4 linked regions of the Diceros bicornis minor genome follow. The protein of the gene in region 3 purifies or fractionates together with the protein of the main gene of each other region. This does not show direct contact. Links are inferred from orthologs where the notes say so. Each region holds a gene or a part of one and is shown on either strand. Other genes may lie near its edges.

Region 1 (7,563 bases), on a different chromosome or scaffold from region 3:
CAGGAATCCAATAATCCAAGTCTGTGTAACCAGAGACTTGAACAACTACCAGAAGGCCCAGATCAAGGCGCCAACCATCAACATCTGAGTTCACACCCGACAGGCTGTGAGTCAGTCAGTTTCACAGAACAGCGTCCATCAGCACCTAAGGCTGCAGTGACACCAGCAACAGAAAATCCGTCCTTTTTTAACCTTATTTCACAGCAAAAAGAAAGCAGATACATCCCAGCCCACCTCCACTGTGTCTGGTGTGCTTTATCCACAGCACTAAACTAACGCTTCCTTCTCGCTGCTCCTATTCTTTGCCCCAAGAACTGGAGGCAAGAGTCGTACCTTTTATGACAGCAGTGACCTACTATACTACCTATGTGAGTTAAGTTGAAAACATTCTACATATAATTACAGAGTATACCAAAAGTTACTCTACAAAACTCCCCATGTTAACGGTTTTCTGAAACTACCAGTATTTATTTTAGACACCTACTGCAACTCTTACTATAAACAACCCACATAAATCAAGAGCTGTTAGTAAGACTAGCACAGACATTTTGATGCTGATACAATACTCACCTCCTGGGACGCTTTTGCTTATTTTTTGTACGGCTTTTTCGAGTTGGCTTAGGCAGAATTCTCCTCTAAGGTAAAAATTATCATGCAACAAAATAAAAAATAAAAAGGACTTTAAGTTGGCAGAAAGCTAAGAACTGTCAAACTGCTTTAAAAGCAAAGACTTATTAAGAATAAATTCAAAGTTCAAGAAAACCAAACAACCAAGATTAAACAAGTTATTGAGAAATCCAATGAAGTGCTTCCTGATTTCTCAATAATTCGCTTAGAATCATAGCTTCTATTAAAATAGTACTGGAAAAAATCAGTTACTTCATGATTTGACTTATCTCCCAAATATTACGTACCTTTCCACATTTAATCAGGCCCACTACCCAACACAGGTACTAATATGGTTACTGAGCCAGAATACAATTCCTTTAATTCCTCATCAGTCTGCCTCTCAATTCCCATAGACTTCTGTTGGCAGCAAGGCCAGATCTGAACTTTAAAAAAACCTTTCTTGACTATTTGCCCTTTTTCTTACCAACCATTCTTTAGCAACTGTTTTCCTCCCAAAGTCTACATCTGACTCACCTGAGCAGTGAGAGCCTCAGACAGGCAATTCTATCAGGCAGAAAAATCACGGCTCAGAGTAACCACACACCTCAGTTTGTCTGATCACCTCTGTAAGCAACCCACTACATTTATGGCATTGCAAACGTGAAAACCATTTTAGTACTACTAGCAAAAGTGTACTTTATCTTTTCCACCCATTGCAAGCACAACTCTCCCAGCACCCTACTGAAGTAGCTTCTCTGTATTCACAAAAAGGTTATTTTAATTATTCCGCCCATCAACACAAAGTCTAAACACAAGTGATTTTAACAAATTCACAAAATAAAACATTCAACAACAGCTACCTGAGCAATGAAGACAACGTGCTTCCCACTGAACTTTTTCTCCAATTCACGTACTAGCCGGACTTGGATTTTCTGGAAAGATTTCAGTTGAGGAACAGGAACAAAGATTATAATAGCCTTCCGACCACCACCAACTTCAATTTCCTAAAGGAAAAAAAAAAAACGACACTATTTTAACTTCATAACCTCCATTCTTCCCCCAGGTACAACATCAAGTGGTGACATTCACCGCGAGCACCGTCATCACTGCGACACGCGCATCGTGGGCGCTCCTTTCTTAAACCCCTTTCCAGCTCATCTCTCGCTGCCGGTACCACAGCCTCACCGTCAGTCCTGCTCACGCCTCGCGAATCCGACGCGCGCAAGTTGCAGCTCGTGAACTAGTTGACAACCAGCACGCACGGGTAACCTTCTACCCCAGGAAGTAAATCTAAGTCGTCTGCTACCAAAGATGAGGCTGGCTGTCCCCTGCACAGATCTTTTCGCAAGCTCTGACTTTCCAGGCACGCTGTACCTTCTACAGCCAAGACGTGATATTAACAACTAATTTCGGTAACCTGCGCGCTAAACAGATACACCGAGGCAGGACGACGGCCTCGACAGTAAACAGTACCCGCTGCGGTCAAATTAGGAGCCAAGTCTAACCTCCAGAGCTAACTTGTAACGCATGCTTGTTGCAAGTTAATGGCGAGAGCAGGCCTCAGAGAATTTCCCGTCTCTCTGCCACGTCCTACTCCAGGGGCAGTGAGACTACAGCCACCGGCCCCTCTGCACCGCCGGCCCCGCCGCCCGGGCCCCCAGGCCCCGCACGCGGACACGCCCCCACCCGCCGCACGGCCCAGCGGCTCGGGGCCGTCGGGACCCCCGCCGCGCTCCCGCCGACCGGACTCGGGTCACCTTGGCTGCCGTGATGTTGAGCTCCCGCAGCTGGGCCTTGAGGTCCGAGTTCATCTCCAGCTCCAGGAGCGCCTGCAGCACAGGAGCAGAGCCGCCTCAGCGCCCGGCCCACGCGGCCACCCACGTGCGGTCACCCCGGGCCCCGACACCCGCGGCCGCGACAGGCGGCGGGGGACGCGACAGGGGACACGCGACAGGAGACACGCCACAGGCGGACAGGGACACGCGACCGGGGGACACGCGACAGGCGGACAGGCAGCCGGGGACACGCGACCGGGGGGCACGCGACGGGGGCCCAGCCCGCCCCTCCCCTCACCTGGGAGATGCCGGACTCGAACTCGTCCGGCTTCTCGCCATTGGGCTTCACGATCTTCGCGCTCGAACTGAACATGGCCTTCTGCTGCAAGCACAGCGCGCTCTAGGCTGGGCGGGGCTCCGCGACCCGGGCGCAGACCACCGCCACCGCCCGCCCGCCTGGGAACCCGGCCCCGGCCCCCGCCCCGGCCCGCCCCGAAGCCATCGGGGGGCACGGGCCGCGTAATCGGCCGTATCCTCGCCCGCCGATCAGGGCCCGCCGCTCCACGGCTGACTCCAAAGCGTGCTTTCCTCAAAGTCGGCAGAAAAGTGCCGACAGACAACAAGCCGCACACCTACCTTGATGAGCGCCGGCCCGGGAAGAGGCCTAGGTCTCGCGAGAGCCCGTCAAATCCCGGCGGCGGAAGGGAAGAGGCGGGAACAGCGCAGGGAGAAACCGGAAGTACCATTGAGAAACGGTAGAAACCTAGAGAGTCCCAGGAAGAGGCTCCGGGGGACCATTCCGTCGGTTACGCTTTTCCGCCGTAGGCGTCTCGTTTCCGGTGCTGTTCGCGGGAATTTATGGGCCGGCTACCGAGGTTCGAGGCGGGAGCCAGGCAGTTGTACCGGGGTCTGGGCGGGAGCCCTGGGCCCAAGAAAGGAACTTGGGCTCTCCGCTAAGCTAGGACGTCTGGAAAAGGCTGACTTAACCCGGGGACGCTCACTTCCCGCTGAGGCAGTGGAAGGAATCAGAGACCAGGATTCCAGCTCCGCCTGTGGACGCTGCTTGTCAGGGCCTCTGGAAGCCGGGGGCGTTACTAGTCAACGCCCGCCGGTCGTGGGCCGCGGACTCCGGGCTCTCGGGGGGATTGCTGGCGCGGAGGACGGGTCCTCCAAGACCGCTGTCCTGGGGCTCGGCGCGGCCCGCTGGGGACCACTGCCCGCGTGGACAAGGGCTGGAGGGGCCGGTGCGGCCCTTCGGGGAGAGCGGAGGGGGGCGGGGCCGAGCGGGCAGTCCCACCTGCGGGATGCCTGTGGTGAGAGTCGGGCTGGCAGGTGGGTCTGCAGTGGATCACAAGTACTCAACTCAAAGACGCCTCTATGGGAAAGTGCCTGCGTCCTGCCCTCTGTCTCTTCAAATTCATGTAAAGGAGGCCCTGCCCTGGAGAGGAGCTGGAAACTTCATTCACAAGTAACGTGGTGCCGGTACTCTGCTAACACTGCGCTGGGTGCCGGCTGTTAGGCAACCGACTGGATCCGTGCCCTCAGGGCGTGGTGAGGAGGACATCGCATAAGGAGTAGACTAGACATATGGTGCAAACTGGAAGAACATGTGCCAGTAAAATGAGTGGGGGCGTGGGGGCAAGGTCCACGCTTTAGGAAGTCAGGGACGTCTTTGGAAGAGATGGAATTAACCAGAGATGTGGGAGCTAATCGCCAGGGAAGGAGCATCCCACGTAGGGAACAGATTATCTGGCTGTGGTCAGGTAGTTTAATCTACTTGAGCTTCAGTTTCCTTGTGTGTCACATGTGACATTTATCTGCTGTGGGCCAGGCACTGTGAAAAATCCTGAAAACAGTACACCAGATGATCTCTAGGATTTCCAACCACCTTCACTAAGCTAAGACTGCATCTCAGATATTTTCAGCTAGATAGTCTCTTCTAATGTAAACGCAACTGTCTCCTTGGAAAATGAAGAATCAACTTGAAGCTTGTTCAAGAAAGAACAGTAAAGAACAGCTGCATTTGTAAACTCAACTGGGTGATCATTCTGAACCCCCTTGAAGAATTTCCATTTGCTTACTCTTGTTCTTGCTTTTCAACCTGGCTTTCTGCCACTGTACCAAAGTGGCAGTCTAAGGATGCATTCAGTAAAGTCCTTTCTGGTTTCCAGTACTTTGTTGAATATGAGTAGTGAGAGTGGACATCCTTGCCTTGTTCCCCATCTTAATGGGAAAGTGTTCTTTCACCAGAAAGTATGATGTTAACTATAGGTTTTTTGTAGATGTTCTTTATCAAATTGAGGAAGTTCCCCTTGATAAATAAATGACTGGCAATAGGATGTTGGAGTATATGAGGAAGCCATTTGGTGTAAAACTAATTTGGCCCAAACTTCTTTTTCCAAAATGGCCTGACGTGGCCGTTGAGCATGCATTTTATATCTGCTGTAAGTATTTACTATGTCCCAAAGACAAGAACAATGCCGTTAAGATAAGGATGTAACTTCCCCCACATTGGCATTTCCGTAAGGACAAGCATCTCTCCTTAAACTAAGGATTAATTGCTGACCTGCTGTGCTCATCTTGTGACCACCCACCTTGCAACCACTGACCTGCTGTGTTCATCAAATTGCTGTGCTGGCAAAGCAGTCTCGTGACTATTGTAAAAGGGACATTCCAGTCATATGTGATGCATGCTCTTCGATGGTATATAACCACTCTGTACACCCCACTTTGGAGTGCTCCGTTCCTTTGTGGAAGAACTCTCCTGGGCTATATGGTCCTTAGAGTTGGCTCAGAATAAACTCGCCCCAATTTTGATTTATGGATTTTTTATGGATTATTTGCATCGACACCCTCTATCCCTGTTCTGAGAGTTTTTATCCTGAGTGGGTGATGTCAAATACTTTTTATGCATCAATTAATATGATCATGTAAGTTGTTTTCCTTAGCATGTTAATATGGTGGACTACATTAATTGATTTTCAAATATTGAGCTAGCCTTGAATCTCTGGAACAAACCCCACTTGGTCATGAATTACAATTCTTTTTCATATTGATGGGTGCCATTAACTAATGTTTTGTCGTGGATTTTTTTTGTGTTCGTGAGGCACATTGGTCTATAGTTTTCTTTTTGTACTAGTTTTGTCTGGTTTTGATAGCACGTTAATACCAGCATCATAAAATGAGTTGGGAGTGTTTTTTCATCTTCTTTTTCCTGGAAAAGATTGTGCAGAATTGATGTTAATTCTTCAAGCATTTGTTTGAATTCTGCCATGATATCATCAGGGCCTGGAGAGTTCTTTTTTCAGGAGTTTTTAATATTACGAGTTCAATTTCTTTAATAGTTACAAGGCTATTCAAATTATCCATTTCACATTGGGTGAGATTTGGTAGTTTATACTTTTAGTTTTTGGTCCATTTCATTTAAGTTGTTGAATGTATGCAGCTAGAGTTGTTCATAGTGTTCCCTTAATATCCTTTTAATGTTCACAACTGTTTTTTAATTAGGTTTCACAGGGAACCTTCAAGTCGATACTTTATTTCCAGTTCCTGTTAAAATGAAAGTATTACCTGGAAACAGAAAGTATATATCCCCTATTAGCTTAGCAGGAAGAACAGAGGCCTAATAAATGAAATACAAGAAAAAATTTTGGCATTGCAGGGGGTGGAGTCTTAGGGAGGGCAGCCAAGCATCCTTCTTTAGGAAGATTTGACTTTCCAGAGGTCAGAGGAAAGTCACTCAGTGCCTAGAGGAGAGAGGTTTTTCAACAAGAGAAAAGAAATATAGTAAAAAGGGAAGATTGGAGACACTGGAGTCAAATTTTGCTTAGGACTCTGCCTAACAAATACAGTTCAGATTTGTTTATTCAGGAGGGCTGAGAGTTATTATGACCAGAGTCTTTGCTATGCTGTAATACAGCAGTGCCTTCACTAGCTCATTTAGCATTGATAACCTGAATCTACCTTACAGTTGATTATTAAATTGGCATTACTGTCAATATATCAACTTCTAACAAGTACCTCAGTCCATTGTGTTGTAAACTCTGCAGATGGAAATAACCAAAGGGTACCTAAGGGAGATGAGGTGACCCATGCTTGCTACATCAATATCATATGTACTTGCACTAGGTTGCTCATCCAGATTAACAGGGCAGGAGGTAACTCCATGCCTACTCTTCCGAGTAAAGTATGTGCACAGGCTTAATGACAGCCCAGCCATTTTTCCCTATGCTCAGGGCCCTGTTTGACTTCAGGGATCAGTCATTGATGCAACGTAATGGTGCCCTTCTTCCTACTAGCCTTAGGCTGCATTTGCTGTACTGTAGTGGGGAGCCTTGGCTCAGGGAGGATAGGCACACTACAGCAACACACGCCTGCTGCCCGGGAAGGTCAGGAAAGCCTTCAGCGGTGCAGGTAGCTGAAGCACACGATGAAAAATGGCCGTCTTAGGAAATCCAGCTGCAAACCCAAATGTGAAAGGTGTACTTTGTCATCTCTCCCTCTCCCCAAGAGTGCTGCTGGGTGGGCCACCTGGATGAGGGCGGTGAGGGAGAATCGAGGGCCCCAGGACATGGACCGGGCAGACCTAGAGGCTGTGAGCAGAGGGCGAGGCAGCCTGCCCATGTCAGGCCTGAGTGCAGCTGATGAGCGACACGGGGCTGAGGGATAGAATCGGTGCCCAGCGTGTAGGTTGTTCCTCCTTTTTCTGAGGGAACAGAGTCAGCAGCTGCATCACTTCAAGCATTTTTTTTTTTTTTTAGTATTTTAAGAAACTGATTTAACAAAACTTTAATGAAAACTAACAACTTCTTATAAATCCAATAAGCTAAACATGTGTTAAGGATCCTAAAGCTTTCTTTAGACATTCCAATACAGAAATAACTAGGCTTCACCTAAAAAATTAGTCTAAATCTGTTACTCACATATGCATTTCAAATAACTGCTACTAGGCTGTCACTCTAAACAGGCCACATTGTCCCCTACGTTATGGGTATATAAAAAACAAAATATGCACTATTTCTCTTAACTGAACCATATCCGTACAATGGGTCTAATTCTCATAAACATTGCTATACTTAATTCTAAGTCTTCCCAGATTGAAAACTGCTTACCAACCCGAAGAAAGCAGTTATTCCAGTGGATTGATATTATCTACTGACATTTAAGGCAGGCCTCCTAG
Region 2 (8,412 bases), on a different chromosome or scaffold from region 3:
AACCTAAATTAGTAGCACTAATTTCATATAAATATGTACTCTCATTTGTATTTAAAAGATAAAGTACTAAACTGGACTGCATTTTTGTTGAAAAGAGTAACAGGAACTTCATTACAATCTATTGCCTCTATTCTCTCTTACGGTTAGCCTATAGTTTTTTACAAGTGCGAAAGATCTGAACGTTCCATGAGAGTTAAGTTCTATCTTAGAACACAGTTTATGATGCTGTAACACTTAAGTTGTTAACATACAGAACGTCAGCTGGTTTTCTTCTATTAAAGGTGCTAACATGCCCATGTCTATCAATCAAAAGTTCTAACTCTGTCAAAGGCTGTTACTTTTGACAGCTGCCACCAGAGAACAGGTGGGCTACTCTGTCCTCAAAGTCCACATGTGCACACACACATACACAATTTTAAGTGAGGGCACGGCTTGTCTTTGTGCTCTTCAGACTGACACCACTTCTTGCCCCAAACAGTTATCTTGATTTAAAAATGGTGGTTTCTTCACTCACCCCCACACTCTCTCTCTCACACTTAAATTGCTGAAAAGTCTTACGGAAATTACTGAAGTGTCTTCTTCGTCTCTCCTGTTGCGTGCACTGGAGGCACTTGTAGGAATCAGCTCTGAGGGCCCAGACGGTTCCTTCAGATGCTGCAGGTAGTCGTAGTCATCATCAAAGAACACGCCGTACTTCCTCTGTTCTGCTCGCCTTTCCTCATCATTTATCTAGCGTAACAAACAAAATGGAGTTAGCACCTCTTCCAAGGGTAAGGCATAGGAACCTTCCAATGAGCACAGCTTTCAGACTAGGAGGCAGATGGCACACGAACACTTTGGCTGAAAGAAATGAGACAAAGAATTCTGGACAAACTCAGGAAACACAAAGCTTCTAAAAGCGAGTGCCATATAAAATTAAAATGGAATGAAAACAATCCTCCTTCCACTAGACAGTTCTGTGCAACAATTCAAGCTAAGAAACACACACACTCTTTGTTTTATCATGAAATTGGGGGGTTAGAAGACTAGAGGGCCTTGAAATGTAAGTACAATTTCTTATAATTATATGCCAAGAAGCTTCTCAACATACACCACAAACTGGCTTTACTGAAAAGCTAAATAGCCCAATGTTTCCCAACACTGCCCTTCACATTACCCAAACTTAACAAGTATACTCTAGGGCTGGCCCTGGGCCGTAGCGGTTATGTGCATGCGCTCCGTTACTGGCAGCCCGGGTTCAGATCCCGGGGGTGCACCGATGTGCCACTTGTCAAGCCATGCTGTGGCGGCGTCCCATATAAAGTGGAGGAAGATGGGCACAGATGTTAGCCCACGGCCACTCTTCCTCAGCAAAAAGAGAAGGATTGGCATGGATGTTAGCTGGTCTTCCTCACAAGAAAAAAAAACAAACAAGTATACTCTGACTGATAATTACAAAATCAACTTTTTAAAGGCTCCCCGGCATTTTCTAAAGCTAACTCACGAGTTTCGATGTTGTACATTTCAGGAAATGGGCGACCAGGAGGCAAAGTGCAGTTTGTGGTTACGAAATGGCAGGATCTTAGGGAAAGCAGAGACTGAACACATTTGTGCCCTAAATAACACCATGCAGCATTATAGCTGATGGTCTAGTAAATATTTACCATTACTTTATAAGATTTGTTCATTTAAACATCTCAAATAAAGATGTTTTATCCTCTAAACCAAAATAAAAATGCATCCTGTAAAAATCAGCAAGTTTACTGAAAATTAAGTCATAGATTTGCTTCCCGGAAGATCACAGGTATCTGAGAAGAGCAGCTGGCTAACATAATTTATTAAAAATCACCAACAGTCCACCTACAGACTTTTTGGCTAAAACACAGGCCTTACTTTCTGTGTCGGCAACAGAACCCTCTGAGGTGCAGTCTCATCCGCCGCTAAAGGATCACGTTGGCTCCGGTGCACCAGGTGAAAAGACACAGCTTTCTTCTTTTCTATGAAGGGCTTTTTCTTTCTGTGAGGCTTCAAAGGAACAGAATCAGAACAAGCCATTAAAACAAAACAAAACAGTGAACAGTATCATAGTCCAAATAGGTGTCTTCAATAAGTAAAGGATCAACAGATTTTTTAAAACTTCACTTCTAGAGCAGACAACATCACCTATGTTCTACAAAAACTATACTTACCTTCCTTCCACAAACATTTGTGGGCACCTACTCTGTGCCAGACCTTGTTACGGGTGCTGGGAATACAGCGATGGGAAAGTCAGACCAAGTCCCCATTCTTAGCAAGCAAATGGTCAAGAAAATGATTTCAGATAAAGAGAAAAACACAAAGCAGTGACGTGCAAATGACTTAGGAGCTACTTTAGACTGGGTGCTCAGAGCAGGGTCCCTGACAGGTTGAACCAGAATGACAAGGAGGCTGCCACAAGAAAATCTGGGGACGACAGGTCCAAGCAGGGTACGCACTTCAAGTACCAACTGCCAAATGAAGCCAAGACACAAGAGCTAAAGCTCGGTAAGATTCGTCAGCCCCGTCTACGTTCTTATTTCGCTACGCAATGCTGCTCTCCTAAACTGAGAAAGCATCGTCCCAGCGGAGGAAGCCATCTTGCTTTGGGACCAACCTGAGACTCTCCCCCAAGTTTCCTTTCCCCGGAGCAAAGGAACGGGCAGACACCTGTCACTCCCAGGTCTGGAGAGACCATTAACTCCCTCTCCACCCGACCCAATGAAGCACAGGGGGCGTGTCTGTGTCCCATGTCACAGGTTGTCAGGCCCCTCGAGGAAAGGGGAGGCCATCCTCTTCTGCCCACTACCCAGGGAGGCTTGTCCGTGGGAGACCCACTCTGAACCGCAGTCCTCCCGGGGTGCGAGGGTGACCCACACGGGGAGACTGTGCCGCAGGCCGCCCCCCGCGCCCCCGGACAGCCCCCCCAGGCCCAGGCGGCAGAGGCCAGCGGCGCCGGCGGAACCAGCATGGCCTCTGCCAAACCCGAGCGCCCCGCCCCCGCGACAACGACACTTGCTCACCATGCTGCAGCCGCACGGCGCTCACCCCACAGAAGGGCCACCACTGCACCCTCCGAGTCCCCGGAGAGGCCACATGCACGTCCCGGACGCCGCCGACACCCAGCTCGCAGCCCCCTCTCTTCAGGCCTCTCCACACGTGCAACCCCGGAAGCCTGACCGGAAGTCCCGCAGCGGGCCGCGGAAATGGACCAATCGCCGAAGAGCCGGGGCGTCGCGGCCGGAAGTTACGCATCGCTCGCTCCGTGGCGACGATCGCGAGAAGCTATGAGGAGGTGGGGCCGTTCCTACCCCCGGGGGGCGGGGCTTTCTCGGCCGGAATTCAGTTCGCGCGGGAAGGGAGTCGCCGACGCCGTGGTGGCGGTGAGGGCGCAAGGCGGCTGCTGTTTAAGCGCGAGCTGGCTTTTCTGGCGCCCTCTACCGGTTACACAGGGGACGAATCTAGCAGCCCCGTGGACATGTGTGTTCACTGCGCGTTCCCCACCGTGGAAAACAAAACAAACCCGTGTTCACGGAAGGAAGGTGGCCGCCCCCCGGGGACCGAGGTTTCAGGTTCCCTCTCCGCTGGCCGGCGTCCAGTCGGTTGCCTTAGCAACGGAGGATCGCGGCCTCGCTACTCCGGGCTGCCCCGGGCTGAGTCCGGCCTTGCTTTTCCATCGTTTAATGGACCGCGTTCAAAGGTCCAGTTAGCAAAACCCCCGCGACTCTGTTGACAGCAGAGGCATTTGAACTAATCACATAGGCGATCTCTTTGGTGTTTGCATACCTTATAAGGGGGGAACTACTGTTTATTCCCTTCCAGGTCGTTCCTCAAGTGTGTTAACCTGCTTTAAGCAAACAGGCTATAAGCATCCCTTCTTAGGAAGGTTTCGGGCAGGTGCTGGGGCCCTCTCATAGCTTTTCCCTGGGCGCGAGAAGGTGGGAATGCCTTCCAAGTGTTATCAGCCGACCTTTTCTCAAATTCGTGTTTCCCCCTCCCCATTTCTGGTGTCTTGCCAACGTCTGAGTTATCTTGGATTGTATCTTTAGGTCCCACCTATTACCACTATAAATATTTATGGAAAATTATTCTTTTACTATGATAAAAATTATAGAAACAATTTAAACTAGGGCCAGAGAACTTGTCTTGGGATCGTGCTTTGTAACAGAGGTAATACATAACACAACACTGCTATGTGCCAGACATTCATTATAATTAAGCTCCGGGAGGGTAGGTTTTGTTTCGTTTTGATCTCTTTTATTTACTATTGTGTCTTTGCTCAGGGCCTAGAATAGTGCCTGGCACCTATACCCAATAAATGTTTGTTTACATGAATTAATGTTCTGGCACTTTACCTGAATTATCTCGTATCTTCCTTACCGTTAACACTATGAGACAGGTGCTATTATCTTCTACTATCTTACAAATTCTAAACTGAGGCGTAGGAAAGTTAAGTAGCTTTCTCAAGGTGACACAGCCAGTACATGGCCGAGCAGGGATTTTAAACTGGAGTCTGACTAGAGCCTGACAACTTAACCACATTACTTGCTTTTTTTTCTTTTGAGTAATAGTCTGTTACTTTATATATTTACTGGGCTAATGCTAACACTAAACACACTGTGCTACCCAATTTATGTGCATTATATCATTGAATTCCTTCGATAAGCCTGTAAAGTACACTTAGATAACACCAAGCTCATCTTATAGAAGGAGAGCTTGAGGTTCAGAGAACTGAAGTGACTTGCCTAAAGTCACACAGTAAATGGAAGAGCTTAAATATGTAGCCCATCAGTCTAGTTAGGAAGGCCACACCTTTAACCATATGCTAGACTATCTTGGGAAGGCAGCCAGCCAGCAAATTCTGTCCATTCTGTCTTCTAAATATCCAAATGTATCACCTCATTACCCCTTTTATCAAATTTATCATTTTTAATACTCTAGTCCAATCATGTCATTTTTCTGTATAAAACCTTTCAGTGTCTACCCTCCAGCCTCAGCATAAAGTCCACTCTTTTGCATGGCAGCCAAGACTTTATATTATCTGGTTTCTACCCATCAATTTAGCATCATGTCCCCTTAATCCCTGACATACCACTCTATGACCCAGCTCTATCAAACTGTTTGTGGTTCCCAAATACACCTAAAAGAGATTGGCTTTCTCATGCCCAGCTAAAAGGCTCTTCCTCTCTGCTCCCTGTTCTTCAAATGTTAGCTTAGCCATTTCTGCCTCTAGGAAGTCTTACAGTCTTCAAAATTAGGGTCCATTCCACATGTGTTCACTGTATCCTATGATTATACTGTTCTACCACTTACCCTAAAATTATAACCCCTTATTATTTTTGTTACCGCACAAAGGGCACGATCTGCTCACTGTGAGACAAAAGACAATCATCAAGAGGCAAGATGGTGGCAGAGAAAGGGTAGTTTATTACAGCTTGCTAGCAAGGAGAAAGAGGGCCGACTAATGTCTCAAAGAACTATCTTACAGAACAAAGACTACAGGCCAGTTATATAGAGGGCTGGTCTCCAAGTGGGGAGGCATCTGGTCCCAGGGTGGGGCCTCAGGAGTCATCATGTTCCTGAGGAACTCAAAAGAACAAAGTTATCAACTTATAGAGGCTAGGAGGGGCCATGAAATTCAGAGTAAGTCAGAGGTCATTCTAAGTTACAATATGGTGTCTTTTCTACAGTATGGCTTCCCTTATGTCAACCTTATATTGAATCGGTATCATTTTCACCTGTCTTTATAGAACCAGACTGCAGTAACCCACTCGAGGGCAAGGGTTTTTGTCACACCAGCTTTACCTCCCCAGGGCATAGCATAGTTAGGACTTAATAATAATTGCACTGTTCAAATCAAAGCACTTTACATATATTTACTCATTAAATTTTTACAAAAGGATTTAAGGAGATATACTATTATCTTTTTTTTTTTCTTTCTTTACATTAGAGTTTGAGGAACAAAAAGTAAGTGACTTTTGCCTAAGGGCACGAAGCCATAAGTGATGAAGCCAAAATGCAAACCCAGGTGCAGCTTGAGAGTCACACCCTTAACCATTACAATGTACCCTATTTCAAAAAGCCAATACATGTGCTGAGCTTCCATGTGTCAGAGACTGTTCTGGGTGCAGTATATATATTAGCTCATTTAATATTTGTTGAATAAAATATCTAGCACAATGCATTCATTGAAACAGTACATATACAAAACGCTGGCTTGTTCTAACACAGAAAAATGTTATTTCCTATCATTAAAATCACCCATAATTGAAATATTATATTAATGATAATAAATCCAAACCATACTTCTCTTACCCCGTTATTAGTATGCTCTGAATAATGGCATCCATTTCAAAATGATTAAACAGAATTTCTGGTTTAGTCTAGGCTTTGGAAAAATTCTTATTTTTCCATATGAAATTAACTTGCCTGCTGAAATTGTGTTTATCAACTTAGCCCCATTTACATCACATTCAGCAGTGGTTTTCCATCAGCATAACCCAAGGATCCCCAAGCACTAGGAAACTAATGTACACAAAGTGGGGAGAACTTGCTTGAGTATAGCCAAACTACCTAGACACTCAAGCAGTAACTTTAGAAATTATAAATTACATGCTTGATAATATTAACAGAGCCTATGGAGGTACTTAACTTATAAAAAGGGAAGTGCATCAAGATGGATGTACCATATTCAATGCCATTCCTATCAAAATTTCAATGGCATTTTTCACAGAACTAGAAAAAATAATTCTAAAATTTGTACGGAACCACAAAAAATCCCAAATAGCCAAAGCAATCTTAAGAAAGAAGAACAAAGCTGGAGATATCATGCTCCCTGATTTCAAACTATACTACAAAAGTATAGTAATCAAAACAGTATGGCATTGGCATAAAAACAGACACACAGATCAATGGAACAGAATAGAGAGCCCAGAAATAAACACACACATATACAGACAATTAATTTATGACAAAGGAGCCAAGAACATACAATGGGGAAAGGGCAGTCTCTTTAATAAATGGTGTTGGGAAAACTGGACAGCCACATGTGAAAGAATTAAAATAGGCCACTACCTTTCACCATACAGAAAAATTAACTCAAAATAGATTAAAGACTTGAATGTAAGGCCTGAAACATAAAATTCCTAGAAAACATAAAGGGTAAGCTGCTTGACGTCAGTCTTAGCAATGTTTTCTTTGATCTGACTCCAAAGGCAAGGGAAACAAAAGCCAAAATGAACAATGGGGATTACATTGAACTAAAAAGCTTCTGCAAAGGGAAGGAAACCATCATCAAAACAAAAAGGCAACCTACTTTGGGAATGGGAGAAGATATTTGCAAATCATAAATCCAACAGGGGATTAATATCCAAAATATATAAAGAACTCACACAACTCAACAAAAAAAAACAAACACCTCAATTAAAAAATGGTCAGAGGATCTGAATAGACATTTTTCCAAAGACATACAAATGGCACATGAAAAATTTTGAACATCACTAATTATCATAAAAATGCAAATCCAAACCACAGTGAGATACCACCTCTGTTATCACACGTGTTAGAATGTGTATTATCAAAAAGAGAAAAAATAATAAGTGTTGGAGAGGATATGGAGAAAAAGGAACCCTCATACACTGTTGGTGGGAATGTAAACTGGTGCAGCCACTATGGAAGACAGTATGGAGATCCCTCAAAAAATTAAGATTAGAAGTAGCATATGATCCAGCTATTCCACTTCTAGGTATTTATCCAAAGAACACAAAAACACTAATTTGAAAAAATATGTGAACCCCTATGTTCATTGCAGCATTCTTTACAATAGCCAAGATATGGCAACAACATATGTGTCCATCAATGGATGAATGGATAACGAAGATGTGGAATACTACCCAGCCATAAAAAAGAAGAAAATCTTGCCATTTATGACAACATGGATGGAACTTGAGAGTATTATGCTAAGTGAAAAAAGTCAGACAAAGTCAAATACCATATGATCTCACTTATATGTGGAATCTAAAAAACAAAACAACAGAACAAACAAAACAAAACAAAACAAAAACAAACTCATAGATACAGAGAACAGATTGGTGGTTACCAGAGGGCAAGGGGGTTGGAGGGAAGGTGAAAGGGGTGAAGGGGATCAATTGTATGGTGATAGATGGTAACTAAACCTAAGGTGGTGATCACTTTGTAGTGTATACAAGGATTGAATTATAATACTGTATGCCAGAAAGCTATGTAATGTTAAATACCAATTTTATCTCAACAACAGCAAAAAAAGATGTATGTACCAGGATGTTCACTGTAGCACTATTTGTAATAGAGAAAAATAAAAGAACTAAAATTCCATTAGTAAAGGATTAACTGAAAAAAAAAACCAACATTCATACCATGGTCCATTGTGGAAGAGGCAAA
Region 3 (7,624 bases):
ATAGTAACACAAGTAATTTGAGAAATGGAGTGAAGCTGCATCCAAACTTCACTTCAGGGGCCGGCCCTGTGGCGGTTAAGTGCGTGCGCTCTGCTACTGGCGGCCCGGGGTTCAGATCCCGGGTGCGCACCGACGCACCACTTCTCTGGCTGTGCTGAGGCCGCGTCCCACATACAGCAACTAGAAGGATGTGCAGCTATGACATACAACTATCTACTGGGGCTTTGGGGGAAAAAATAAATAAATAAATAAATAAATAAATAACAAACTTCACTTCATGCTGTATGTTGCTTAACGCAAACATACAGCATTTGGGGCTAACAGACTTCCAAATATATCTTCATCTCCCTCTTCCTTATAGGGTCCTGACTGTGAGGAGCTAGACAAAATCTATAATTCCAGGCCAGATGAATTACAAACAACTTTGTCAATACCAACCATTTGCCTCATTCAGCTCCTCCTCAGTGGGCCAGGTCTGTTCCCCTTCCATTGGATCTGGGATAACCTCTGTTTGCAAAGATTCTTGTCTATCAGGGTCTGCCTTCATTAGGACCTTAAGGTCTTCCTCCATATCAGCTACAGCATCCATAGCACAAATCTGATAACCAAAAGCAGGTGATGGTCAGTCAAACATTAACCAAAAATCTACTAATTCTAACATAGTAACCAGAAAGATCCAGAAATAACATAGTCCTCAAGTAGAAGATGAATGAACTAGAATGAAACAGAAAGCCAAACCTGTCAAAATTTTTCAAATAGTTCTATTTCCTAGCATTTGAAATCTATATCTCTGCTTCGTTCTTGAGGCCTTTCATAATCTGGTCCCACTCCTACCAGTTTATTACCTATCTTACTCCCATGAAGCTGATTTCTTCAGAGTTCAAAGAAACCCTCTGATCCATCACTGTGTCTAGGTTCACATTGTCTCTATCTTCTAGGATAGTCTTTCATCGCCAACTCATAAATCACATGCACCCTTACCAAGACCTGGCTCAAGTCTGATCTCTCCTGTGAAGCTTGCTTGTCTACTTTCTCAACTTCCACAGCAGGTCTGTTCCTCAAATACACTTTCTTATTCTTTATTCCACAGGTGTTTGCCATTTTTTTCAGACCTAAGTAAGTTGTCTGAGGGAAGAGACTGCATCTTGTGTCTTCTATAAACTCAGAGCCAATTGCTGTGCAAGGCACCTACAAAATGCTGGATAAATATGTGATATATCAACATATTTGTAGACTACTGCCTTCAAACTAGCAGTCACCTCCAGGGACTAGTAGTAGTCTAGGTATGCAGACTACTGTCTCCTCAAGTTAGTTCACATCCTGCACCAGCTTACACACTTATCTACAATTCACAATCTTTAAGACATCAATCTTACCTCCATTGCCATGCCTGGGTCCTTCTGAGATTTGATCACTCTAGGATTTAAAGGGAAAGGGTCCATAGGGGCATCTATCTGTTTCATCTGGAAATCACCATGTCCAACGATATGCAGCAAACTATTTACATTCAGAGTCTGCCCACGAACATAGCCTGAGATTTTCAAGGTGCCCACCAAGTTATTCTCTTCACCAGGCACAAAGTCAGCAGCATGAGCAAGCAGGTAGGCCCGCCGATCTCGAAAGGCAAGATGCCGTTGCTTTTGGTTAGCCAACTGCCTGAGCAGCATTCCTGCCTCCTGTTGAGTGTCTAACAGGAGGAGTTTGTCATCAGGAAAGCGCTTCTCCACTGCTTTACTTAACTTCTTTCTAGCATCTATTTGTTTCTTCGGTGGGAGGCCAGAAACCCCCTGGACAGCAAGTGCTGTAAACAAAAGAGAAAGGGCTTCTTGACCTGCTGCTTCACTATGTGAAAATGCCCCCTGCAGTTCACAAACAAGCTAACAGTTCAGTTGTGAGGCCAGAGATCACTGGGAAAACCAACGGTCAGCTACCCTAAAGAAATTTCACAGTAAAACCAAACTTCATATTCTTCTTCCTCTGGGCAAAGGCCAGCCCAGAAATAAAAAGGCACCTCAGTAGGTAATATGTAAATAATGGACCAAGTTTAAGCCTACATGTACAATCCACCATCGGCTGAATACAATCCACCCGTTGTATTCCTGTATCAAGTGACAGACAGTGCCTGGCAAACTACAGGTGCACAATAAACACTAATTAACTTCCTTTCCTGGCCTCCAATACTCCCAACTCACTTACTATAGGTGGGAAGGCCTTGAGCAAAGAGGCAGGAAAGACAGTAATCCCCAGTGCTGTCCCAGCCTTCCAGTGGATCAAGGAGGAACAGGATGGTATCAGCTACTTTAGCCATGTCTAACACAGTGTGCAGATCCCCTGGAGAAAGAAGACAAAGTCAGTAGGAAGAGGTGGTTGGCAACAGCACATTATACTCAAAAAATAATACTACTTAAAACATAATGATAGAAAATATTGTTGCACGCTCCAACCTGGCCTTGCAGATGTGAAAAACCACCGATGTTTCAAGCGGGGGCATAACAGCATAAAGCCATGGGTGCTTCCCCATTTATTCAGGTGTACTGTTCCAGACTCGCTATCCTGAAGCAGCCGAAAGGCCTCTGTCAGAGAAATCCTGTTGTGCAGGGGCACCACCAGTACCTGATGAGGTGAGCCATCCTTGCTGCCCAGCTGTCTCTTCTCTGCCAGAACCTGGGAGTACAAAGGATTAGAGAACATCTCAATGTTTCAGTATTACGTTCCAGCATCGCATTTCCAACGGTACGGATGCTCCTCCCAGCCAGCATCTCTCTTGTAAAAGGCGATATGCATGTCAGGGGGGTCGGACCAAGGCAAAGAATGCTCTAGCGCGAGTCTAGACTTGCACGCCTGACATACGCTCTAGGATTAGTCTCCATCCCAAGCCCCTTTCCGGGGCCACACTTTCTAGTTCGAGGCATTAACCGCCTAGAACGGTTGTGAAGCCACACCATCCCCCAATCCCCGCTCCTCTCACCGCCTCCTTCTTCTGTTTTCGGAGCTGGCTGGCGCGATGCCTCTGATCTACTCTGCTGAGCTCTTTTTTCACCTTCTTGCTTAGGGTTTTCAGCGCTAGACGGCCTGGAGGGGAGATCAGAAAGGGCTCTTGTGCTGGGCCTCAGAGGAAGATCAAGAAAGAGGAGGCCAGTCCGCCCACCTTAGAAAGAGCTTTAGCGCAGGGTGCAGGCCGGAGGTAGGAGCTCAGTCTGGACATGAGGAAAAAGCAGTTAATATCGACTAAACAGCCCTCCTTCCTCCAACCCTAGCTTCTCACCTTTGCCGTCCCGCTGCGCAGATCCCCGACCCCGGTGCCGCCCGCCTTTATGCGGTTTATTCTGCTGTTTAAGCGGGCCGGAGCGATGGGCCGCCATACTGCCGCTCACGTGTACCAAGTCAGCACTACTTCCGGGCCGGATCGAGGGCTTCCGGTCTCCTCCTTGGGGGCGGACCCTCCCCGGGGTGGGGCGGGGCTCCCGCGCCCTCTCGCGAGGATACTTACCAGCTACGTCTGAGAGCGCAGCGCCTGCGACTCCGCAGAACCGAGGTGTAAACTTTTCCACGCGGCAGTATTTGGTGGGGGCGCTTTAAAACGCCCACTGTAGACTCGAGGTTCGGGCTCTCGCTGCCGGAGGGCTGTTTTGCTCCCCTGCATATTCATTTTTTGCGCTATCAAGTTGCATCACTTAGGAAGATGTTGAATGGAAGATTCTCCATTCGTGCAGAAGAGGGCTAAGCCCGTCCTCTCTCCTAGATTTGTGCACGCAGTCCTCAGTTTGCAGCAGCAGGTGTTCTCTATCACTTTGAGCAACCTTTCCTTCAATTCTCCTGTGAGGCTGCCGAGGTCTACAAGGCGAATCGTGTGGAAGGCGCTTCTCTCCCCTTCACGCCCTCCGTTACGAGTTCCCGCTGGTCCCGTTCGCGCCCCTACCTCCCACATAGCAAGAAGGGCCGGACCCGACGTGGCGAACCCTAGGTGGGCGGGAGGGCTGGCCGTGATACTCGAGCCCTCAGGGCCAGCAGAACCTCTTCCCACCAGCTTTGCAACTGAGGGCGACCAGCTGGCAGGGGTACTTAGAGGAACGATGGAGTTCCGGCTTTTCTCAGCCAGGGGACTAACGCTGGCTTCCCGTTGGCCAGACTCGAGATGCAGAGGGCCCCGGCCCTTCCCGTCGGGAAAACGAGCAGGTGGAAATCAGGGGGCGTCTAGCTGGATTGAGGCCAGCTCCGGCGCGAGCGACTTTCCCCTCGGCCGCGGCGTCCAGGGCGCTCCCAGCCCCACCCAGCGCCGAGCAGGGCTGCTGCTGGCGCTCACAATGCGAGTTCGCGCCCTCGGGCCGGGAGCGGGCGCGTTGCCATGACAGCAGCCCGCGTGGCGTGCGCCCGGGGACCCGCCGCCCCCAGGCGCGCGCAGCCTCCCCCCGCCCCGATCCCCCCCGTGGCTGAGCGCACCCCCCCTAACCCCCGCCCCCGGCTGTGGGAAGGGGCCGGGCCAGCCGCCTGACGTCTGTGCGGGGCTCGGAAAATGGCTGCGGAGCCGAGCACCGGGCAGTGGCTGCGGCGGCGGCGGCGGGCGGGGAGCGCGGCGGGCGGGGGCTCCGCCTTGCGCGTGGCGCGCTGAGCCGAGAGGCGCGGAGGCGGCGAGGGCGCGCGGGGGGCTTAGGGGCCGCTCGGCGCCGCCTCGCCGCCACCCGCCGCACCATGGGCAGCGCAGAGGACGCAGTCAAAGAGAAACTGCTCTGGAACGTGAAAAAGGAGGTAAAGTCCGGGCAAGGACCCCCTGGGGCTCGCGTCCCGGGGCGCGCGGCCCAGGAGACGGAAAGCTCTGCGCCCACCTCCGGGCGCGGGCGCTCGTGGGCCCCCGGGCGGGGGCGGGGTCCTGGACTGGCTGCGGCCCCCGCCCTCCCTCGGATCAGGGGGCAGCCAGCTCCCCTCGGCCGGCGGGGCTAGGCCGACGCTCCGAGGCTTGTTTGCTCCGCGATCCCGCAGCTCCCCGCCCTGCGACGGCAGCAGCGCTGGGAGACCGAGGTCGGGGGAGGGGTGGCGGCGATTTCTAGAGAACCAGGGCTGCCCATTCATTGTCCGCGCCGCTTGGGGAGGGGGCGGGGCCCTCGCTGGCGTCCTGCGGTGCTAAACGAGTGATTTGGGGGTTTAGCTTTCATTTGCCCTACACTCCCCCCGCCTCCGGTATTCTTCTGGGAACTGAGTCCCGGCTGCGGGAGGGTTCGCTGGACACCTTACTGCTTCTCCCTCCACGCCCACTTCTCTACCCAGACACCAGGGGTTTTTTGAGAATGGCTTTCAAGACGCAGATTTTTTTTCCCCTTTTGAGTGAGGACCCCCTAATGTCAGAGAAAAAGAGTGCCCTCTACTAGTGTCTTTTACCTTGACCCTATCTTAAAGCCTATTTCAGTTTCATTGGAGGGGGTGCCCATATGAATGACTCACCCCCATATGAGAGCTGGAGAGCTCAAACCGGAAGAGTGAATTAGAATAGATTAGGCCTTTGGAGCCACGAACTCCCTCCCCGCCCCCCCCCCCCCACATCTCTGTGGCTGTCATCCTCCAGATGTGGAAACTCGATGAAGGCAGGAAACCCATCTGTTTTGTCCACTACTCTCTATCCAGTGCCTGGCACACAGTAGGCACTCAATGACTATGGTAAATAAATCTGCTGATCTTGGGGACTGCGAAGTCTGGTGGGAATGCATAAACTTTGGAGTAGTCTGGACCTAGCTCTGTGACCTTGAATAAGTTGCTTAATCCCTCTGAGTCTTGATTTCTTCATCTCTAAAATATCTATCTCATATATAAAAGTTTACCATATTGATTCCTTTACCCCTTCCTAGAGTTTCAGGATTAGAGAAGACTCTGGGTTCTCGTAAAATCCTGGAAGGCTCTAGATGGTTCTCCTGCCTTGACTGTGGCCTGGCTACTGTGCCCTAATATTTGTTCTTTTCTCTCTTGTTGGCAAGAAGTGGTTGAAGCCATCACCTTTCCTGCTGTGTGAGAAGCTCCATGTGCTTTTGCTGTGAAACAGCCAAGAAAGAGTTTTTTAGGCCAGGAGTATATCGAATCAACATTTAAACCCAACCCTGGTCTCCCCATGGAAAAGAAAAATCTCAAATCTCAAAGCACAGGGATTATCCTCAGGAAACAAGCAGTCTAGTGACAGACTTATATGAACAGTATAAACAAGAACGAAGAAGTAAGCATACCCCAACAGTGCTAGGATTGTTGATGTGATCCAAATTTGGGGTTGGTCAAGGATGATAGGAAAGATTGAGATGACAATGATTCTTTTTTCAGTACTTAGAAGGCTATCTGGGGCCGGCTCCGTGGCTTGGCGGTTAAGTGCGCGCGCTCTGATGCCGGCGGCCCGGGTTCGGATCCCGGGCGTGCCCCAAGGCACCACTTCTCCGTCCAACCCGAGGCCGAGTCCCACGTACAGCAACTAGAAGGATGTGAACCTATGACATGCAACTATCTACTGGGGCTTTGGGGGGAAAAAAATGAATAAATAAAATCTTTAAAAAAAAAAGAAGGCTATCTGTATTACTCTAAGAATGATTCCTAAACAAATATGAGAAATGTCCAGAGTATGCCACAGCTATGTATGCTACCTGACAAAGGTTGACTTGCTCTGAACTCTTAGTTCCCTTCCCCTTTCAGCACTTGATTTAGAGAGAAACATATCCTTTCCTCTCCAACAAGTAGAAACAGTGGGAGTAGTTGTAGGCAAGGCTGGCCTTTCACAAAGGACCTCTGGTATAATTCTAGAGGCACCCATAGGTTCTCCTGACCCCAAAATCTGCCCCACTAGCCTGCTTCAGATGCCTATAGGTCTTTGAGCTGTGACGTTATGCTCTGTTTAATGCAAACACCCCTTGGGAAGTAATCTAGGAAGCTTTTAACAGTTTAGAGTGCAGGATCGATCTGATCCGCTTTTACCTAACCACTAACCATGAGCCGTTTCCAGCAGGGAGGAGCCTCCTGGTCCTTCCTTCTTCCTCCCCAGCCTTTAGAAACTTTACCGTCCTCCAAACTACAGTCCTACGTGAGGGCCTTGGGAGCAAGGGCAGCATCAGGGCACTGCATGCCTTGTCCAAAGAATGGCAAAGACAAGCTCTGCCCCGAGGTTACTTTATCTGTAAGATTTTACACTGGTATTGAGGTAATCCATCCCTCTAATCTCCAGTATTAGTATCTGTCTCTTGGCAGCTTCCCCCAGGACATCAAAAGTGCTTGGCTTAAGTGTTGGTAGCAACTAGAACCTCACACACTGCTAATGAGAGTGTAAATTGGTACCACTTTGGAGAGCAGTTTGGCAAAACCTAGTAAATAGACTATATGCATCAGAAATTCCTTGTCTAGAAGTATAAATCCAAAGAAATGGGCACCTGTGTTCACCAAAAGACATGTCCAGAATGTTCATAGCAGCACTATTCATAAGAGCTTCAAATTGGAAACTACCCAAATGCTGAAAGGAAACAGGACAGGGTTGGGGGTACTTTGGGGTGCTGGTCACATATTGTGTTTCTTCATCTGGATGCTGGTTTCACAGGCATGTTCAGTTTGTGAAAATTCATCTAACTGTATAATTATGATATACACTCTTTCTATATGTTTACATCAG
Region 4 (7,780 bases), on a different chromosome or scaffold from region 3:
GATAAGAATTGTGAGTGCTTAACATAGTTACTGACATGGGGTACATACTAAAATATTTACTGACATCTAAATATTTGTCTTTAAAAACTAGATATTCCAGATATTTATTAAAAAGATATTTAATGAGAAAGTACCATATGTTGGCATTGTGGAGGATAAAAAAATGTAAAAACACTCTCTACCCCTGAGAATTTATTATCTAATTGTGGAGATAAGAATGTACAAATCTAACTCTATTAGAAGGTAAGAAATGATAAGTGCTAAAAAAGAGGTGGCCCAGAACAGAACAAGAATATTTCTAGCTGAGGGATCAGTCTTAAGGAAGAAGTAGCACTTGAGACCAACTTCAAGAGATGCAGGAATATAGAAAAAGCAGACAAGGAAATACCAGGGAAAGAAAAAAAAAAAAAGAGATGTGCACATGGCACACATGCAAGAAAGTACAGAGCACAGGAACAGCCAGTACAGCGGTAGCTCAGATGGGCTGGCACACAGTTCACGAAAAGAAGGCCGGAAAACGCTTTTGAGTAAGATATGGAAGGCCTTGAAATATAGACCAAGGAGTTTTAGATTTTATACTAAGGAAAGTATGAAACGCTTGAAGATGTTTAGGAAGGGAGATAGATGAACAGATTTTTTTTTTTTGTGAGGAAGATCAGCCCTAAGCTAACATCCATGCTAATCTTCCTCTTTTTGCTGAGGAAGACCAGCCCTGAGCTAACATCTATTGCCAATCCTCCTCCTTTTTTTTTACCCCCCAAAGCCCTAATAGAGAGTTGTATGCCATAGCTGCACATCCTTCTAGTTGCTGTACGTGGGACGCCGCCTCAGCGTGGCTGGACAAGTGGTGCATCAGTGCACGCCTGGGATTGGAACCCGGGTCGCCAGCAGCGGAGCGCGTGCACCCACCCGCTAAGCCACGGGGCCGGCGCCCAGAGTTTGTTTTAAGGACGTTAATCTAGCAGGAATATGCAAAGTGGTTTAGAGAAGGCAAAAACTGGAGGCGGTGTACTAGAGAAGCAAACGACAGTCCAGGCCAGAGGAAACAGAAGCCAGAACAGGGAAGAGGTACTGGTAAAAGTAATTAAAAGATCTTTAGGAAGTAGTATGGGAGGGATAGGCATTGGATATGGGAGGGTAAAGTGAATGAAGAGTCAAAACTGAAGTGAAGAGGAAGAGCAGGTTTTAAAATCATAATAAATAATAATACACAATTATCATAATAATATATGTATATTTATTACATTACATGTTATGTATATTATTATTTTAATGGAGTTTGGTAAAAGGGGGTAGATACAGTCAATGAACTTGATTTGAGGACACTGAGTTTGAGGAGTTGGAAGGTCCTTCAAATGAAGATGTTTGAGGAAAACTGGAAAGGGAGATCTATACTCAGGAATGAAGTCATAATTAGAAGGAGAAAATGGTCGATTATGTGAAAGAGGTAAGAGATGAAGCCGAGAAGTGGATGCGATCATCAAGCAAGAAATAACGGAAGAAAAAGGAGGGTTGAGGGAGAGAATTTGGGGGGAAGTTCACATAGAAAGGTAAGGGCAGTCAGTCCAAGTATGATTACTGATATGGGAGGCATCAGATAAGTAAAGGGAGGAGCGGGTCAAGGAAAGGTGGCCACTGATACCAAGGCTGGTGAGACTCCACTAAGCCTGAAATACCATATTTAATGAGTAGGTCATTCCTTGGTGAGTTTCAAAAAAGAACTGAAATATTGCAGAGACAAAGTTTTGGAAGATGAATCTGGCATCATTTTGATGCCCCAACCAAAACCTCCCACTTTAAACTTCACTCATCTTCCATGCTTTGTTCTGTCTCTTGCAGCCTCTAACGTTCTTTCTCTTGACTCCTCTAGTTCTGTCAAAGGCATTACGGAATGAGCAAATATGCTGAGGAAGCAGCAAAGGAAGGTATCTTTCAGAAGTAACAGTAGGTATTTAGAAAAAGTCTAGCTGAATTGAATCTGTGAGGAGAAAGAAAAGTGTCTTCCAAATTGCACACCGAGTTTGCATTTGATAGTTTAATCCTTAAGTATCGCCTATTTAAGGAAAAGATAATAGCTCCTAAATAAATTTGTTTTATTCTACAAATGCCTAATCTATGTGTTGACCTTCGTTCCATAAGACTAAGACTATAAGATCAGTTTTTGTCACTTTCCTGCATAAAAACACCTAGTGGCTCCCTTATGCTTAGAATATATTCCAAATTCTTTACCAAAGTTCAAGGCTGTATATAGCACATGATCTGGCTCTCACCTTTTCCAGTTACATCTCCAACCACTGAGCCTCTTGCTTATTAAACTCCAGCCACACTGGGCTTTCCATTCTCCAAAAAGTTTTTCCTGCCTCAGGGCCTTTGCATTTACTACTGCTGTTTCCTCTGCCACCAACTCTTTCCAAGGATTTCAGTGTGCGGGCTCCTTCTCATTTACCTCCTATTATTCTCCCCCCATTCTTTCGTTTACTTAGCAAAAATTTATTCAGTGCTTACTAAGTGCCAGGAACTTTTTAAAAAGGCCTCAAAACTTTGGTTACAACGGTCAACAGACAAGACTCCTGCACTCAGCCAATCTTCTCTGACCACACAATTTAAAGAGAGCATTCATGTCCCCGCCCCCACCATGCACGTCGTTTCTAACCCCTTATCCGCTTCTTTTCCTCTTTACCATCTCCATAGTACTCACTGCCTGATATGATCCTTCTTCTTAATCTATTCGTTTACTTGTTGATAATGTCTCCCCCCCCTTGCCTGTCTTGGACCCCGCTGAATTCCCTAACATTGTTACTAAAAATCGGACAATGTGTTGATTGAATGAAACTGTAGGAACGCTATGTGACTGAGCCTGTGAGCGGGGAACTCAATGCCACCAATTCTCCTCGGGAGCCTTAACCCTCCTCAGCCCGGGGTCAGAGAGCTTCTCAGGCCACAGAGATGCGAGGCGGCTCTGGAGCATAAGGAGAAGGGGGGCAAAAGGAAGGAAACGATTAGAAGAGGGGCCTTTGCTCCATCTGGGGGAAGACAGAAGCTTCTGAACAAAGGCTTCTGAATAATCCGACTCTCCGGTCTTTTCCTCCTTCCCAGCCGCGGCCGGCTGCATCCCGGGTCCGGAGCGCGCTCGGCTGCCGGCAAACTTCGAGAACCAGGAAGAGGACAGGGAAAGGACAGGGGAGAGGGGGAAACGGCGAACTTCTTACCGCGGTCAGGACCCTGAAGTCATCCCGACTCATGTAACGCAACTTGGCCACATTCACCTTCCCCATGGCGGCCCCAGACCCAGCCCAGAAGCCTCTTCCACAACAACCCGAGAGCGCAGAGCAAGCCGGGCCCGGGGCTCTCACGTGTCTCGCAGCCGCGGGTGCTCGCGCATGCGCTGCTCCTCACTACAGGTCCTTGTTAATAAACACAAGTACTATTCTCTGGCACGGGAAACTAAAACGTCTTCTGGGTTATAAGAAGCATAAAGCATGGAACAAGGCAAGGTATTTTTTTGTAAAGTGCTTTTGTCATGTGACGGACTTGGCGGACTGTAAGTGTTCGCTACAATATGCCGTTTCATTTTTCATAATCTGTCAGGACGGGCTGCCTAAAGGACGCGACCTTCCTCTAAGTGGTAACTTTTATCAAGTTTTATTCCCAAACAGCAACTCCTACTTTAGGCAACGTGAGCTCCAACGAGAGAGGGAAAAGGAACCTGAGCGCGACTCCAGACAACCAAGGCCGTTAAAGATAAAAACAATAGCAGTCACACAAGCAACCACTCTTCTTACTGCGCCTGCTCAGTACGTCTTTAAGTTGGTCCTGGAGACTCCGGAGTGCGCCTGCGCCTCCTGGGGGTGGGGTTTAGGGTGACGTGTGGAGGGTGGAGCTGTCGTCGTTGCTTCTCCCGGGCATTTCCGAAGACAGTGGGCGTTTTGATGGTTCGGAGTGGACCTACGCGGGTTTGATATCGCCCAGGAGCGATTTAAGGGCTTTAGGAGGCTACCCACACTGGCCCCGGAACTCTTCTCTACATCCACAAAAATTTTAATCGGAGAAGGACCCTAGCACCCCGACAAAGAGGGCGGGTACTCTACCATACCTTCCCTACAACAGCAACAAGGATAGGAAAACTTGTATGATAATACAGGTTTGCGTTTATATCTTGCTTCATGAACTGTATTTTAAACCTTTAAAAGGCAATTATTTTGGTACATCCCTCACGTTAGGTGTGGCTGCTGCATGTGGTCACAGAAGATTGTGGTCCACTCCAGCCTTGACCTCCTTTCCAACCACGGCTGTTTAGCCTCTGTCTGGGTCCAGTCTCAAAACTTTCAGTGCAAACTTTGGACTTCAGTATTTACAGAGTTCCATTTTTTTTTGTTGTTTTGTTTTCTTTTTGGGGTTCCACTGATTGATGTACTAATTTCCTTCTTTCCAAGCCCTACTCTGTATGTTGGTTCAAATACAGAGCTAGCCCTTGCATAAAATGTGTACTGGAGTTAGAAGGCAGGCAGTTGAATCTGCCATGTCTTTCCAGCCAGAATAGTTAGTACTCTGAAATCATAGAAGACAGAAAGCAGAACACCACTTTATCCCCTCTACACTATAACCTTTGGCTTCTTTTTAACATGAATGCAGTAAATCTTTGATTAACCATGCTCAGCTAATGGAACCTCCATGGAAATGGAATTTTTCTTTCTGTCCTTCACATAAGAAGACATAAAAATGAAAAATTTTTAAGGAAACCAAATGACTAACTTCTGGAGCAAGAATGGGATGGAAACAAGTCATTTGGGTGTCTACTCCTAATCCAACGCTTTAGCAGACATTGCTAATCTATTATGGCACAAACTTTACTTCTCAACTGTGTTCCAGACAACCACACTAATTGATTGGGTTTGGCTAGAATTGCTGTCCTGGTTCTGGAGTATTCCCTGGGGTTAATCACACTGAGCCCAAATCTCTTATACTTTCAATATTAGTATATATATATATTTTAATAAAATCATCATAGACCCTTGAAGAGTAAAAGGGATGCAAGTACTATTCAGTATTCTGTTCTACTCTATTATACCATGCTTACTAATGACTAAAACAAAAATGCACAATATTCTTCATTCTCTCATTTGCCGTTTATCAAACATATACCCCAGAATTTTTGCTTGGTCCTGGTGAAACTCAATCCCACCTCTTGAGCCTTGTGGTAGGAAGAAATGAATAAAACATTAGAGAATATTATGACAGAGTTATGCAAAAGATTTATCACATTATTATTTTCTCCTCCCAGACCCTCACTCCCTTCACACACATGCAAATACACACACACACACACAAACATACAGCTTGTCCTCACAAGCTGTGAAGGATCTTGACTGTCTACAGATTAAAGTTCAAACTTAGGCTGGCATTCAAGATCTTCAATAATCTGTATTATTACTTGTTCTCAAGTAGTATATACTCTTGTGTAATTGAACTACTTTGTTTTTTCCTTGTACAGCTCACTTGATTTTCTGTCTCACTGCCTTTTCCCTTCATCTATAATGCTCGCCTTCCCTCCCCCTTTTCATTTTTCTTCTTTCCAATCACCGTATATGTAAATCCTACCTACCATTCTTCAAATCCTATGTACCCCACAAAGCTTGTCTTTGTTATCCTTGTATTAGTTTCCTAGGGCTGCTGTAACAAATTACCACAAACTTGTTGGCTTAAAACAATAGAAGTTTATTCTTTTACAGTTCTGAACCATGCTCCCTCCGGAGGCTGTAAGGGAGAAGCTGTTTCTTGCCTCTTCCAGTTTCTGCCAGCATTTGGTGACTGCTGGGATTTCTTGGCTTGTTGGTGTGTCAGTTCATTCTCTGCCTCTGTAGTCACATTGCCTTCCTCACTTTTGTGTGTTTCTCCCTCTGTCTCATTCTTACAGAAATACATGTAATTGTGTTTAGGGCTCAATGAGATCCTTAATCACATCTGCAAAATCTTTTTTTTTGTTTTGCCCTATAGAGTAAATTCATAGGTTCCATGGATATCTTTTGTGGCGGGGGGGCATTATTCAACCTATTACAATCCCAAAGGAAAGTAAGCTCTCCCTCCTCTAATCTTCTGTAGCCCTTTATCTTTAATGATTCTGTCCACTTTTTAACCTCCAGTAGTCCATAAATTAGATTAATTATGGAAAAATTTGAACGAGATTGAATAAAAAAATTGAGTCAAGGAAAAGAAAAATGATCTATTTATGTTTAAGGTATTATACTAGCTAAAACTCAGAAAAATTATAATAGGCTTTACTGTGCATAGGCTATAGTGCCATACATTTGAGTATTAGAGATATCAGCAGTGAGAAAAGACATAGTATGGAATATATGGTTGTGTGGAATTTATGGCAAATTCTGATGAGAGACTCACGATGCAAACTTGTAGAGTTCTGGAACATGGCAGAATATGCAACAGAGAATGAAATGCCTTTTAAAAAAACAGCTCCTGGCGTGCTACAGAGCCCCAAGAGAGCTAAAGTGCCTGACATTGAGGTACAGGTGATATTGTAGCCACAACTGGCCTTAATGAACTGGTTTCTGTTGGATCAACCATCTTATATAAAGTTGAGCAAGTTCAGCAACAATCCATCATAAGGTGAAAGTGGTGCCTTCAGGATTGAACACAAGCAGGACCAGAGGGCACAACAAGTTGCGTGAGTATGTAGCCTAGACTCCATGTCATGCACTACTGTTGTCCAGATGCCTCTTCCTCAGCTCATACCTCCATGGTTGATCTCTTATGATCAGCTAGTAAAGGAAAAAAAAGCCCACATTTGGTTCATGGGTGAGTCAGTTTGAAATTGTGGTTGAACTCTTGCCCCACTTGGGTGGCCTTGAAAGAGAAGTGATCAGAGAATATCCTTCCAATGGGCAGAGCCTTGGGAGGTGCACCTGGTCCTCCACTTTGTGTAGCAAGAGAAATAGCCCAACGTTAGAATATACATGGATTCAGGGGCAGGGGTGAATAGCTTGGTTGGTTGCTCAAGGGCCTGGAAGAAGAAAAATGGTTATATTAGGGACAAGGAATTCTGAGATAGAGGCATGAGAATGGGTATATGAGAGTGGACAAGAAGTATGAGAATCTTTGGATTGCATATTAATACCCACTGGAAATCATCTAACATAGAAAAGGCACTAAACAACCAGGTAGACTAAAACCCTGTCTGGGTGATAGTCAGCCTTTGTCATTGCAATCTGCCACCCTAATGAAGGCACAATTGGTACACAAATGAATTAGTTATGGTAGCAGGGATGGAGGAGGACATGCATGGGCCTGACAACATGGGATCCAAATTACCAATGCTACAAGAGCTACTGCTGTTCCTGAACACTCAGTCCGCCTTCAGCAGACAGCAATGCTGAGTTCCCAGTGTGATGCCATCCCTTGAAGAGACTAATCAGTCAGTTGGTGTCAAATTGACTACATTGGGCCTCTTCTACCATACAAGAGCCAGAGCCAGAGATTCGTATTGATAGTAGTATACGTGGACATGGACTTGCTTTTCCTGTCTGCAGGGCCTCAGCTTGCACCAGGATTGTGAGGCTTACAGAATATTTGCTCTAACAGCATGGGACTGCACTTTACTTCAAAGGAGATACAACAGTATGCATATGACCATGGGATCCCTGCTCATATCACATACGACACCATTCAGAAACTGCTGGTTTGATGGAATGACGGGAAAGTCTATTGAAGGAACAGCCTGTTAGAGGCACTGCTGAAGTGTCAGCTCAGAGGTGATACCCTGTGATTT

Evidence for each region.
Region 1: the proteins of TSR1 (region 3) and RPS7 purify together in Homo sapiens (co-immunoprecipitation; 4 studies listed by BioGRID and IntAct, with this or other methods). This does not show direct contact. The link is inferred for Diceros bicornis minor from reciprocal best matches to the Homo sapiens genes TSR1 and RPS7.
Region 2: the proteins of TSR1 (region 3) and LTV1 purify together in Homo sapiens (co-immunoprecipitation; 4 studies listed by BioGRID and IntAct, counting the BioPlex papers as one, with this or other methods). This does not show direct contact. The link is inferred for Diceros bicornis minor from reciprocal best matches to the Homo sapiens genes TSR1 and LTV1.
Region 4: the proteins of TSR1 (region 3) and RIOK2 fractionate together in Homo sapiens (co-fractionation; 3 studies listed by BioGRID and IntAct, with this or other methods). This does not show direct contact. The link is inferred for Diceros bicornis minor from reciprocal best matches to the Homo sapiens genes TSR1 and RIOK2.

What each region holds. Positions count from the first base shown.
Region 1 is NC_080751.1:75,267,378-75,274,940, forward strand, and holds the start of RPS7 (small ribosomal subunit protein eS7), read right to left. Parts: upstream 3,107-7,563; 5' UTR 3,021-3,106; intron 2,767-3,020; 5' UTR 2,758-2,766; coding exon 2,683-2,757; intron 2,439-2,682; coding exon 2,367-2,438; intron 1,614-2,366; coding exon 1,470-1,613; intron 636-1,469; coding exon 571-635; intron 1-570.
Region 2 is NC_080778.1:23,096,089-23,104,500, reverse strand, and holds the start of LTV1 (protein LTV1 homolog), read right to left. Parts: upstream 3,165-8,412; 5' UTR 3,021-3,164; coding exon 3,018-3,020; intron 2,005-3,017; coding exon 1,873-2,004; intron 730-1,872; coding exon 559-729; intron 1-558. UniProt on the Homo sapiens protein: Essential for ribosome biogenesis.
Region 3 is NC_080757.1:15,535,230-15,542,853, reverse strand, and holds the start of TSR1 (pre-rRNA-processing protein TSR1 homolog), read right to left. Parts: upstream 3,378-7,624; 5' UTR 3,363-3,377; coding exon 3,266-3,362; intron 3,073-3,265; coding exon 2,969-3,072; intron 2,665-2,968; coding exon 2,445-2,664; intron 2,332-2,444; coding exon 2,197-2,331; intron 1,802-2,196; coding exon 1,377-1,801; intron 599-1,376; coding exon 439-598; intron 1-438. Other genes in the region: SGSM2 (small G protein signaling modulator 2), read left to right, coding at 4,690-4,746. UniProt on the Homo sapiens protein: Required during maturation of the 40S ribosomal subunit in the nucleolus.
Region 4 is NC_080740.1:22,746,023-22,753,802, forward strand, and holds the start of RIOK2 (serine/threonine-protein kinase RIO2), read right to left. Parts: upstream 3,359-7,780; 5' UTR 3,276-3,358; coding exon 3,210-3,275; intron 1-3,209. UniProt on the Homo sapiens protein: Serine/threonine-protein kinase involved in the final steps of cytoplasmic maturation of the 40S ribosomal subunit. Involved in export of the 40S pre-ribosome particles (pre-40S) from the nucleus to the cytoplasm.